Linked DNA regions of Macaca fascicularis. The protein of the gene in region 3 interacts with the protein of the main gene of each other region in a pairwise test. Links are inferred from orthologs where the notes say so. Each region holds a gene or a part of one and is shown on either strand. Other genes may lie near its edges.

Evidence for each region.
Region 1: the proteins of PLSCR1 (region 3) and RGS3 interact in binary tests that used the Homo sapiens proteins (3 or more experiments, as listed by UniProt). The two-hybrid records come from large-scale screens. The link is inferred for Macaca fascicularis from reciprocal best matches to the Homo sapiens genes PLSCR1 and RGS3.
Region 2: the proteins of PLSCR1 (region 3) and MVP interact in a two-hybrid assay, tested with the Homo sapiens proteins (2 studies listed by BioGRID and IntAct). The link is inferred for Macaca fascicularis from reciprocal best matches to the Homo sapiens genes PLSCR1 and MVP.

What each region holds. Positions count from the first base shown.
Region 1 is NC_088389.1:44,526,681-44,530,330, reverse strand, and holds part of RGS3 (regulator of G-protein signaling 3), read left to right. Parts: intron 1-857; exon of another isoform or gene 858-947; intron 948-2,163; coding exon 2,164-3,138; intron 3,139-3,650. UniProt on the Homo sapiens protein: Down-regulates signaling from heterotrimeric G-proteins by increasing the GTPase activity of the alpha subunits, thereby driving them into their inactive GDP-bound form.
Region 2 is NC_088394.1:28,264,091-28,267,740, forward strand, and holds part of MVP (major vault protein), read right to left. Parts: coding exon 3,526-3,650; intron 246-3,525; coding exon 1-245. UniProt on the Homo sapiens protein: Required for normal vault structure. Vaults are multi-subunit structures that may act as scaffolds for proteins involved in signal transduction. Vaults may also play a role in nucleo-cytoplasmic transport.
Region 3 is NC_088376.1:49,353,507-49,357,256, reverse strand, and holds the start of PLSCR1 (phospholipid scramblase 1), read left to right. Parts: upstream 1-1,559; 5' UTR 1,560-1,700; intron 1,701-3,750. UniProt on the Homo sapiens protein: Catalyzes calcium-induced ATP-independent rapid bidirectional and non-specific movement of phospholipids (lipid scrambling or lipid flip-flop) between the inner and outer leaflet of the plasma membrane resulting in collapse of the phospholipid asymmetry which leads to phosphatidylserine externalization on the cell surface.

The DNA.
Region 1 (3,650 bases), on a different chromosome or scaffold from region 3:
CCAGACTGGGCCCTCAGCCTTCCTGTCTACCCAATGGAGGGTCTTTCTGTCCACCTGGGAACAGCCTGATGGGACTGAAGCACAGCCCTTAGTTTCCAGATGAGAATTCTGGACTGGAGGCCCTGACATTCCAATTGCCAACACTGACTCTGGTGTTTGACAGAGTTTGGGGTACGTGGGAAACATGTGCCACTGGTTAAGGTCCTTAACTTCAGAATTTCCCTCTAGATCAATGCTTTTTAAATCACTACCTCCAACACCACCATCTCCTGTAGGAGCTTTCTGCCTTTTCCAGCATATGCTCCTGATCTGTTACTCAGGCACGCTGGTTATCCCATTTCATAGGTGGACACCTTGAGGCCTGAAGGTTGGTGACTGGCTCTACCTGACACCCCTGTGTGATTCTAGGTTGCCCTTTGCTCCTCTGGGCCTCAGCCTTTCTGTCTATGCAGTGGGGATTTCGGATCGCTGTTGTTCCAGAGTCTGAGACTATAAGGTCTGAGAGGGCCCTTGTGTGGAGTCACCTCTGAGCTGCAGGCAGGATTTCCAGGGCAAGGCCACAGCATCAGTAGGTACCTGTCTTTGGCCTATGAGCCACAGCCTAAGGCATGCCCTTCCTGACCTTGGCCAGATCATGCTAGAGTCCTCCAAGGCCTCCCCTCCCTTGTCCAGCCACCGTCTCTGCTCTACAGGGCTCCACTTTCACTTTCACGCTCCCAGGCTGTGGCTCTTACCCGTGCCGCGCTTTCACATCCGCTCACATCTGTGCTCCCAGATGCCAGCGTGACCCCTGACACGTGTGTGCAGCAGCCTGCAGCTGCCCCAAGCCATGGCTGATCACTGACTCCCAGCTGTGGGGCTTCACCATTACAGACGCCCCGGGGCTTCAAAGACTTCTCAGCTTGGAGCATGGCCTGTTGGGTATCAGGGCAGCTGTATAATAGTGGGTAAGTCACTGGCCTTTCGACTCAGTGTTGTCATCCATCAAATGGACATTAATAATTTCTACAATGAGAGCTCTTAACCCACGTTCTGGGGGTACTTACCTCTGAAGTTTTCTGCCAGTGTGCACATGTGCCCGCATGTGCACACACTCCCAAGCATCTGTTCAGTTCCTGAGTACAAGTGGGGTATTTCTCTTTCATTTGTTCTCAGCAGCTATGGCTTCTTGAAGGACAGAACCTGGGCTCTAAATAGTTCCACCTCCCGCATTCCTGGACCTTGAGTGGGAGGGGCCCAGCCCAGGCTTGAGAACTGCCTCCCTGTGTGGTTGTGGCACCATGGACACTCCTGACTTTCTCAGGGCCCCAATCTTCTGGTGACATAGCTGCTATTCAGACTTTCATCAAGAGAAACATTCTTCTCTTTGTGCATGAAATCTACTGGCGAGACTCAGCAAAACCCCCTGGGATCCCGAGGGTTGTGTGTGAGGCAGGAGATGCTGTGTTTTTTGAGGAATCCTTGAGGTTCCTCCAAGCAGTTTAAAAATCCCTGGGTGGGTGATTCCTCAGGGAGGTTCCATGTTTCTGTGACATCTGGTGAGTCCAGGTGTGGACAATATTTTAAAGTTCCGGTTTCATTCCAGTTTACTAGTTTCAAAAAGATACTTAAGCGTTCAGAGCATATTCCTGTTTGAATGACTCATTAGGATTTTTTAAACTTCAGTTCAGGTAGGAGACACCCTGGGCTGGGTTCAGTGACTGCCCCGGGTTTGGGGCTTGACTTGGTTCTGGTCCATGAGCAGAAACTGCCTGTTCTCCTTTATCCCCAGAGGCGACTTTGACCCTGTTTCCTTTTCTGTAAAATGGAGACAGTGATGCTTCTTTTATAAGGTTGTTGGGAAGGCCATATGAGAGAGTGGGGTCAAGCTGCCCTGGCAACTGCCAAGGCAGGAGCTAGATAGACAGTGGTTACCTCTCCCTCTTCTCCTGTAAATGACCAGCTGTGTTTTTGATGAAGCAGAAAGTTCAAGCAAGAAGACAGGGTGAGAATTGTTACACAGCTAAGTCAAAGGGGCTTTTGGGGTTCCATCTGGCACCTCAGCTTTCAGACTGGGGGGCCGGGATTCAGGGTACTGCCTGATTTCATGTCAGCTCATGCATGGTGTCTGGCATCTTGGAGCCTCCTCTTCTGAACCGTTTTTGTTTTCTTTTTGTTTCCCAGATGTTTGAGACGGAGGCAGATGAGAAGACGGAGATGTCTTTGGAGGAAGGGAAGGGGCCTGGTGCCGAGGATTCCCCACCCAGCAAGGAGCCCTCTCCTGGCCAGGAGCTTCCTCCAGGACAAGACCTTCTACCCAACAAGGACTCCCCTTCTGGGCAGGAACCCACTTCCAGCCAAGAACCACTGTCCAGCAAAGACTCAGCTACCTGTGAAGAATCCCCTCCAGGCCCAGACGCCCCACCCAGCAAGGATGCACCACCATGCCAGGAACCCCCTCCAGCCCAAGACCTCTCACCCTGCCAGGACCTGCCTGCTGGTCAAGAACCCCTGCCTCACCAGGACCCTCTACTCACCAAAGACCTCCCTGCCGTCCAGGAACCCCCCACCCAGGACCTTCCACCCTGTCAAGATCTGCCTCCTAGCCAGGTCTCCCTGCCGGCCAAGGCCCTTACTGAGGGCACCATGAGCTCTGGGGACCCACTAGCAACCACCGGGGACCAACCTGCGGCCTCCAGACCAGCCTTCGTGATCCCCGAGGTCCGGCTGGATAGCACTTACAGCCAGAAGGCAGGGGCAGAGCGGGGCTGCTCAGGAGATGAGGAGGAGGAAGAGGCCGAGGAGGGGGAGGAAGGGGAGGAAGGGGAGGAGGACGAGGATGAGGACACCAGCGATGACAACTATGGAGAGCGCAGTGAGGCCAAGCGCAGCAGCATGATCGAGACGGGCCAGGGGGCCGAGGGTGGCCTCTCACTGCGTGTGCAGAACTCGCTGCGGCGCCGGACGCACAGCGAGGGCAGCCTGCTGCAGGAACCCCGAGGGCCCTGCTTCGCCTCCGACACCACCTTGCACTGCTCAGATGGTGAGGGCGCCGCCTCCACCTGGGGCATGCCTTCGCCCAGCACCCTCAAGAAAGAGCTGGGCCGCAATGGTGGCTCCATGCACCACCTTTCCCTCTTCTTCACGGGACATAGGAAGGTGAGAAAGCTAAACGGGGAGGGAGAAGGATACATGCAATGTGGGGAGGGCTGGCCCAGGGGCTGCAGGGAATGAGCAGTCACCGTGTTCCACCCCCACTGTCCCAGCAGCCTCCCAGCGAACCTTCCACCTGTTGGACAAAAGGTAAAACTGAGGCCCAATGGGACCAAGAAGGCAGAGCCTGGACTTAAACCCATGACTTTAGGACTCTAGATGCTGTGTTCTTATAGCTCCACTGGTCCCCACAGAAAGCAGAACAGGTGTAGCTTAGCCCAGGCCATTGTGTATTTGGATTTAAAAGATCTGAGGTAGTAGCTGGAGAAATAGAGTTACAGCTTAGCCAGGCTAGAAATCCATCAGCCAGTCACAACGACAACACACATTTATTCCATATCCGCATTATCCTAAGCAGTTTACATTAACTCATTAACTCTCACAACGGCCCTTTGAAGTAGATAGTATTTTGGTGCCCATTTTACAGCAGAGGAAACCGAGGCAAAGAAAGGTTATCT
Region 2 (3,650 bases), on a different chromosome or scaffold from region 3:
TTCTCATCTAGAGGGATGGCCTGGCGCTCCTCCACCACCTCCACCTTGGCAGATGGCACATACTCCAGGGGTCCACGGATGAGCCAGTGGTCCCCAGCCTGGTGTGAGACCTTCTCTTCATCCTCCCCCTCCTCCAGGGGCTGCAGGGCCCTCAGCAGCAGCCCTTGCTGCTCCGACAGCACGTATACATCCTGGATGCCTTGTTCCAGCTGCTCTCCCGGCTGGAGGAAGAAAGACTTCTCTCCCTAGTGGGGAGACGTGCGGTTAGGGGCAGGGCCTTTAGGGTTGCGGGTGCCTCCGATGGCACCTCCCCAGCCCCGCGCTGTCTCAGGCCTGTGTGGAGGACAGGAGCCCCAGAAGCCCGCCACCACCCCCACATCATAATACAGTGAGGCACCGTCTGGACTGTGAGGCTCTACACAAACGTCTGCCGAATCTCATCTGCTCAAACGTGTCCTTGAAAGATTCCATAAACTGTCAGAACCTGGATCCACGCACGCTAAACCATTAAAAAAATCAACCTGTTTTTTCTTCTTTCTCCCAGGCTTTGTTTTCTAGAGATGGTGTAACCTAGGGCTCAACAAACTCTGGTTTTCAGGCCAAATCTGGATTCTGCCTTTTTTTTTTTTTTTTTTTTTTTTTGAGACAGTCTTGCTCTATTGGCCAGGCTGGAGTGCAGTGGCATGATCTCAGCTCTCTGCAGCCTCAACCTTCCAGGCTCGAGCAATCCTTCCAGCACAGCCTCCCAAAGAGCTGGGACTACAGATGCGCGTCACCACACCCAGCTAATTTTTGTGTGCTTCGTAGATGATGGGGTTTTGCCATGTTGCCTAGGCTGGTCTCAAAGTCCTGGACTCAAGCGATCTGCCCACCTCAACTTCCCGAAGTGCTGGGATTATAAACGTGGGCCATCATGCCCAGCACTGCCTGTTTTTTTTTTTTTTTTTTAATTTTATTGAGATATAATCCACATATGAAATTTTCCCACCTAGAGTATACAATTCACAATTCAGTTGTTTTAGTATACTCAGAGTTGTCCAACCATCACTACTATGTTAAGTCTAGAATATTTTCATCATCACCCTGAAAAGAAATCCTGTACCTAGAAGTTACTTCTACTCCCCACCCACCCCACCCATCACTAGTCTATTTTATGTGTTTACCTATTCTGGACATTTCATATAAATGGAATCATGCAATATGTCAATATGTGGTCTTTCATGTCTGGCTTTTTTTTTTTTTTTTTTTTTTGAGATGGAGTCTCGCTCAGCAGCCCAGGCTGGAGTGCAGTGGTGGGATCTTAGCTCACCGCAACAACTGTCTCCCGGGTTCAAGGGATCCTCCCGTCTCAGCCTCCCGAGCAGTAGCTGGGACTACAGGCACCCGCCATCATGCCCAGCTAATTTTTGTGTTTTAGCAGAGATGGTGTTTCACCATGTTGGCCAGGCTGGTCTTGAACTCCTGACCTCAGGTGATATGCCTGCCTCAGCCTCCTAAAGTGTTAGGATTACAGGCGTGAGCCACCGCATCCGGCCGGCTTCTTTCACTTAGCATAACGTTTTCAATTTTATCCATGTTGTATCACCTATAAGTATGTCATTTCTTTCTTTTCTTTTCTTTTTTCCTAGAGACAGGATCTCATTCTATTGCCTCAGGCTGAAGTACAGTGGCACAATCCTAGCTCACTATAGCCTCCACTTCCTGGGATCAAGCGATTTTCCCACTTTAGCCTCCCAAGTACCTGGGACTACAGGTGTGCCACCGTGCCTCGCCAATTTTTTAAAGTTTTTGTAAAAATGGGGTCTCACTATGTTACCCAGGCTGGTCTCGAACTCCTGGCTTCAAGCAATCCTCCCACTTTGGCCTCCCAAAGCACTGGGATTATAGTCACGAGCTGCTGCGCCTAGCCTGCCATTTCTTTCTTATGGCTGAATGATATTCCATTGTATGAATATGCTACAATTTTTTATCCATTCATTAAATATGTACATTTGGGTTATTTCTACTTTTTTTTTTTTTTTTTTTTGAGACAGTCTTTCTCTGTCACCCAGGCTGGAGGGCAGTGGTGCTATCTCAGCTCACTGCAACCTCCGCCTCCCGGGTTCAAGCGATTTTCCTGCCTCAGCCTCCAGAGAAGCTGGGTTTACAGGTGCCTGACACCATGCCCAGCTAATTGTTTTTTGTATTTTTAGTACAGAAGGGGTTTCGCCATGTTGGCCAGGATGGTTTCCAACTCCTGATCTCAAGTGATCCACCCGCATTGGGCTCACAAAGTGCTGGGATTACAGGTGTAAGCCACCGTGCCTGGCCTATTTCTACTTTTTCTGCCTCCTGTTTTTGCAAATAAAATATTCCAGAAACATGGCAGTACTCACTTGTTTACGTACTGCCCATGCTGCTTTCCTGACATAACAGCAGAGTTGAAGAACTTCCACAGAAACGATGACTCACAGAGCCCGGAATATCTACCATCCAGCCCCCTTTACAGAATGAGTTTGGCAACTCCTGGTATTCCCACATATAGTTCAGAGAGGGGATGAGGTAGGGGGTGGGAGAGGGTAAACCAAGAGGTTTGTTTTACGAAAGATGACAAAGCAAAGTGCACACCAGAATATAAAAGATGTGAAGTATAGTCACTGCGTGATGGTTCAGTCCACTACAGACTGCACATGGTGGTCCCGTAAGATTATAATGGAGCTCTTTTTTTTTTTGAGATAATCTCACTCTGTCGCCCAGGTTGGAGTGCAGTGGCACGATCTCGGCTCACTGCAGGCTTGATCTCCGGGGTTCAAGTGATTCTTGTGCCTCAGCCTCCCAAGTAACTGGAATTACAGGTACCCACAACCACACCTGGCTAATTTTTGTATTTTTAGTAGAAACAGGGTTTCCCCACGTTGACCAGGCTGGTCTTGAACTCTTGACCCCAAGTGATCCACGTGCCTTGGCCTCCCAAAGTGCTGGGATTACAGGCGTGAGCCACTTGCTGGCCGATAATGAAGCTTTCATACTGTGTTTTTCTTACCTTTTCTATGGCTAGCTACGTAAGTACTTACCATTGTGTTCAGCTGCCTGCAGTATTCAGGACAGTCACATGCTGCACAGGTTGGCAGCCTAGGAGCAGGCTACACCATCTAGCTTAGGTGATAGTAGGCTGTGCCATCTAGGTTTGCATAAGTGCACTCTTTTGCACAAAGACAAAATCATCTAAGGACCATTTCTCAGACTGTATCCCCACATTAAGTGGCACATGACTGTATCAGAGAGAGTTTCAGAGTCTCAGGCAGAGGGTAGCCAGGAGACCTTCCCAGAAGGGGAATTAACTTCAGGTCTGAGGGGTAAGTTAGAGGCTGCCAGGAACCAAATGGGCCAGTGTCTCAGGCGTGTAAGAACTAAGCGTGTAAAGGCACAGAAGGTATTCCCAGAACGTGCCTCTGGAGGAGAAGGGAGAGAGGGCAGAGGGCCTCCTGCCACTAGAGGGCATACATCTCCCAGGACAGTCCTCTGTGGGGGGTGTAGGGACCTCACCTTGACCACACGCTTCTGCCCCAGCTGATTCTTGCCATCCGGTCCGACAGGGTCGAGAATCACACAGTAGTTGTGGGGGCCCAGGGTGGTGATGGGCACAACCCCCAGCACCTCCTCGTGGACAT
Region 3 (3,750 bases):
GAATCCAACACTTATTTTAGTCTGTGCATGGCTCACCCATTATTTTACCACTTCCATCCGCACCTCTTTCCCACACTGTGCACTTGTCTTAGTCACAGTTTTGCTAAGCCCACAAGCTAAGCCTAGCCTAGCCAAAGTGAGTGAAAAACAAACATTACTGGACAGCTTCTTTGAAAATGGGGAAAACCCAATGATGAGACAACAGAAGACTCTAAAACTGCTAAAAAAAATAAAGCCACATTTAAAGGAAAATGCCAAGAGTCCTACTTAAATTACAGGTTCACTGCAACAGGTGGTTCACATTCTCCAACCCTGCTTTGTATAATATGTGATGATCGACTATGCAATGAAGCCTCGAAACCTGCAAAACTGCTTTGCCACATGGAGACCAAGCACCCTGCGTTAAAAGACAAGCCTTTGGAGTTTTTGTTTTGTTTTGTTAAAACAAACAAACAAACAAACAAACAAACAAAAAAACAGAAACCATGAAAACATGAACACAAAGAACACATAGAAGCAATTATTGAAGGCCACCATGTCATCAAATGTGTCTGCACTGACAGCATCATTATATATTACAATGTAACAATAATAGAAATAAAGTGCACAATACATACAATATGTTTGAATCATCCTGAAACCGTCTGCCACTCGACCCTGGTCCATGGAAAAATCCTCTTCCGTGAAACTGGTCCCTGGTGCCAAAAAGGTTGGGGACCACCGGTTTATCCAGGGTCATCCAGGTTGGAGTAGGGTCAGGAGATATGGGGAAATTTAGGCCAAAGAATTCAAAGTTACAAACATGTAGGATGAACAAATGGGAAGACCTAATGTACAACATGAGGGCTATAGTTAATGATCGTGGTATTCAGGATTTATGCTAAATGAGTAAATTAGAGCTGCTCTTGCCCCAAGGGGGGAAATGTGTAATTATAGGAGTTGATGGATATGTCATACACATAACTTAAATACAGACAATAAAAACTATTTTAGTTTAAAAAGGAACAATATTTATTAAAAAATAAGGTGAGCTCTTAAAAACATTTAAATAACTGCCTAAAAAAATAAAAAATAATATCACATAATTTAATAGAAGGAAAGAAAGAGCAAGACAGCAAGAAAGAAAAGGCACCATAAAAAAAAACAATTTTGACCACTCCTCATTTGTAGTCTAAGCTGCCTCTGCTTCCTTGCGTTGAAAAGCCACGGGCTTCCGAGGGATGGAGGTCAAAGTCAGAGTAAAGAAAGTTCCCGGGGGAGGCCACTCCCCAGCTGATGACTTTCCAGTTCCAGTTAGTGACAGAGTCCCAGTTCCTCTCCTTAACCACCGGTCAAAAGTCTCTGGAGTCTCTCCAATGAGCAAGAAAGCAAGTCGGGGGTAGGGGAGGGGCCTCACACCTGGTGGTGGGTGCAGTCCCTCCTCCAGCTTCTTCATCCTGCAATAGTCCCGCGGGTCCCCCGGCGCGAACGCGGGAACCAGGAAAAGGAAACCGCGTTGTGTACGTAAGATCCAGGAAACGAAACCAGTAGCCGCGGCTGTTGGCGCAAGGGTTACTCGCAGACCCTGTTCCGGCTGATTTCCGAGAAGGTTGCGCAGTAGCCGTTCCTTGCAGTCTAGAGGCGCAGGAGAGGAAGCCACCGCCTGACCCCGGCTCTCTAGACCTCGGCTCTCTCGGGAGCGGAAACAGCGGCAGCCACAGGTGCGCGAGCGGCTTTCTCTGCCGCCTCCCCGGGGCTCGGGCGCGAGAACTGCGCGGAGCCTGCGCTGGGGCCAGGGCCGGGATCAGGTGTGGGGGCCAACTTACGGGGAACGGGCGCGAGGGCCAGCCGGTTGTGTTTGCTGCTCTGGGGGTGGAGGATGTGGGGTGAAGGCTGGGGCCAGAAATGCAAGAGACCTCTGAAAGGGACCCTGTAAGTGGAGCAGATGCACGGCAAGGGGCCCCAGGCGGCCCAGCGGCACCTGGGCTCACCCAGAATCATTCGAATGAAAAGGGGTGTCCTGCCTGAAAACGCCTCGCGGGGCTCAGCTTCCCCTTAGCTACACTGCTCTACAGGCAGAGAGCGGCGCTGAATCCTGGGCAGAGACTGGGCTCGGGAGCATGTGCCAGCATAGTGGGGCTATTAGAAGGGACGGTTAATACAGCCTGCAAGCTGGCATTTATCAGTAAGTATTCACTGAAGTCCGCCTGGAGCCCACATCTATGCTAAACCCTCTACAATACTAGCTTGGAAAAGATAGCGGCGGTATCTGGCACGGTTCCTAAGACCATTAGCTCCAGTCAGGCTCCCCGACTTTAAATTTGGCCTCTACTGCTTCACATCTGTGGATTGTCAGCCACTTTCTTAATATATATTCTTTCCATTGCCTCATCTCTGAAATTGTGTAACTATTAAAAGAGCTACAGAGTATTATATGTGTTAATGTAAAGTTCTTAGAGCAGTGCCTGGCACTACAGAAAGTACTCAGTGAAAGTGAGCTTTTATTATTTTAAATATTTGACAAAGTTCCTGCTTCTCCAAGCTGACTCTCCGGTTCCCATGTGGTTTCATTCATGCACTGTTATTCCTGGAAGTCTTGGCATGGCCACTTCCCAGTTCCAGGAACAGGCAGTCGTTGTTTTTTTTCTGGCTTATCACATTGAGATACATGGTTACTACAAGTGACACTTAAACGTGTCAGGCAGTTTGGGGCCTCCTTTCTTGAACTTTTCCTAAGAGCAAACTTTTCCCTTAATGCCACCCGGTTTACAACCATAGTAGGGCTTTGAACAACGAGAAAATGCAGGGAAATGAAAGACATATAAAGGGAAATGAATGGATTTCTGCAGTTGGATAGCAAAGTGGCATGTGAAATAGCTGGTTTATAGATCAAACTGCCTTTAGATCTGTAAAGGAGCTTAGAGTACAGGTGGAGAGACATCAAATGTGTGTGAGCAGACCCTTATGTACCTCTCCGTCTTCATCTCTAAGAATGTCTCCCTCTTCTGCTCTGTAACCTCACTGGTCTTCCTTTCCTTGAATGAGGCATGTTCCTCCAGCTCAGGAATTCTATCTATGAAGTTCCCTGTCTCTATAATGCCCTCCAACACCCCACCCACCATACCTCCGTAGACTAGTTGATTTGAGATTTCCTTCAGCTCCCAGTCTGACTTTTCTTAAACCCCCTACCACTGTTTAAGTTAGTGTCCTGTAACCCTTTCTTGTAGCAACATTAATTTTATTGATAGCACTTAGAGTGTTTATAATAATCTATTACATTCTTAATTGTCTGTCTCCCTAGTGTCTAGGTATTGTGCTCTAGTGCCTGGTATAGTGCTTTGCATGCTCTATGCCTTCAATTAATTCCTTAAAAACCACACCAGCTTTATATTTAGTGAATATTTATATAGGAAGTATTTCTATATGTATATATGTGTATCTGTGTATATACACACTCTATAGCACTACCCTGAATAGTGCTAAATTAAAAAGCCAAAACACTTTTTAGTTAATCAGAACAGTTGCACTCTTCAGTTTTCCATATGTTCTTTTAATAAGTCATTAGAAAAAAATGATGTCTCCATATGTTGTCTGCTGCTGTAGCAGAATACCTGAGACTTGGTAATTTATAAAGGACAGAAATTTATTTCTTACAGTTCTGGAGACTAGGAAGTCCAACATAATCATGTGTTACTTAAAGACAGGAATACATTCTGAGAAATGCATCATGAGGCAATTTGGTGGTTGTGAGAACATCATAGAATTTACTTA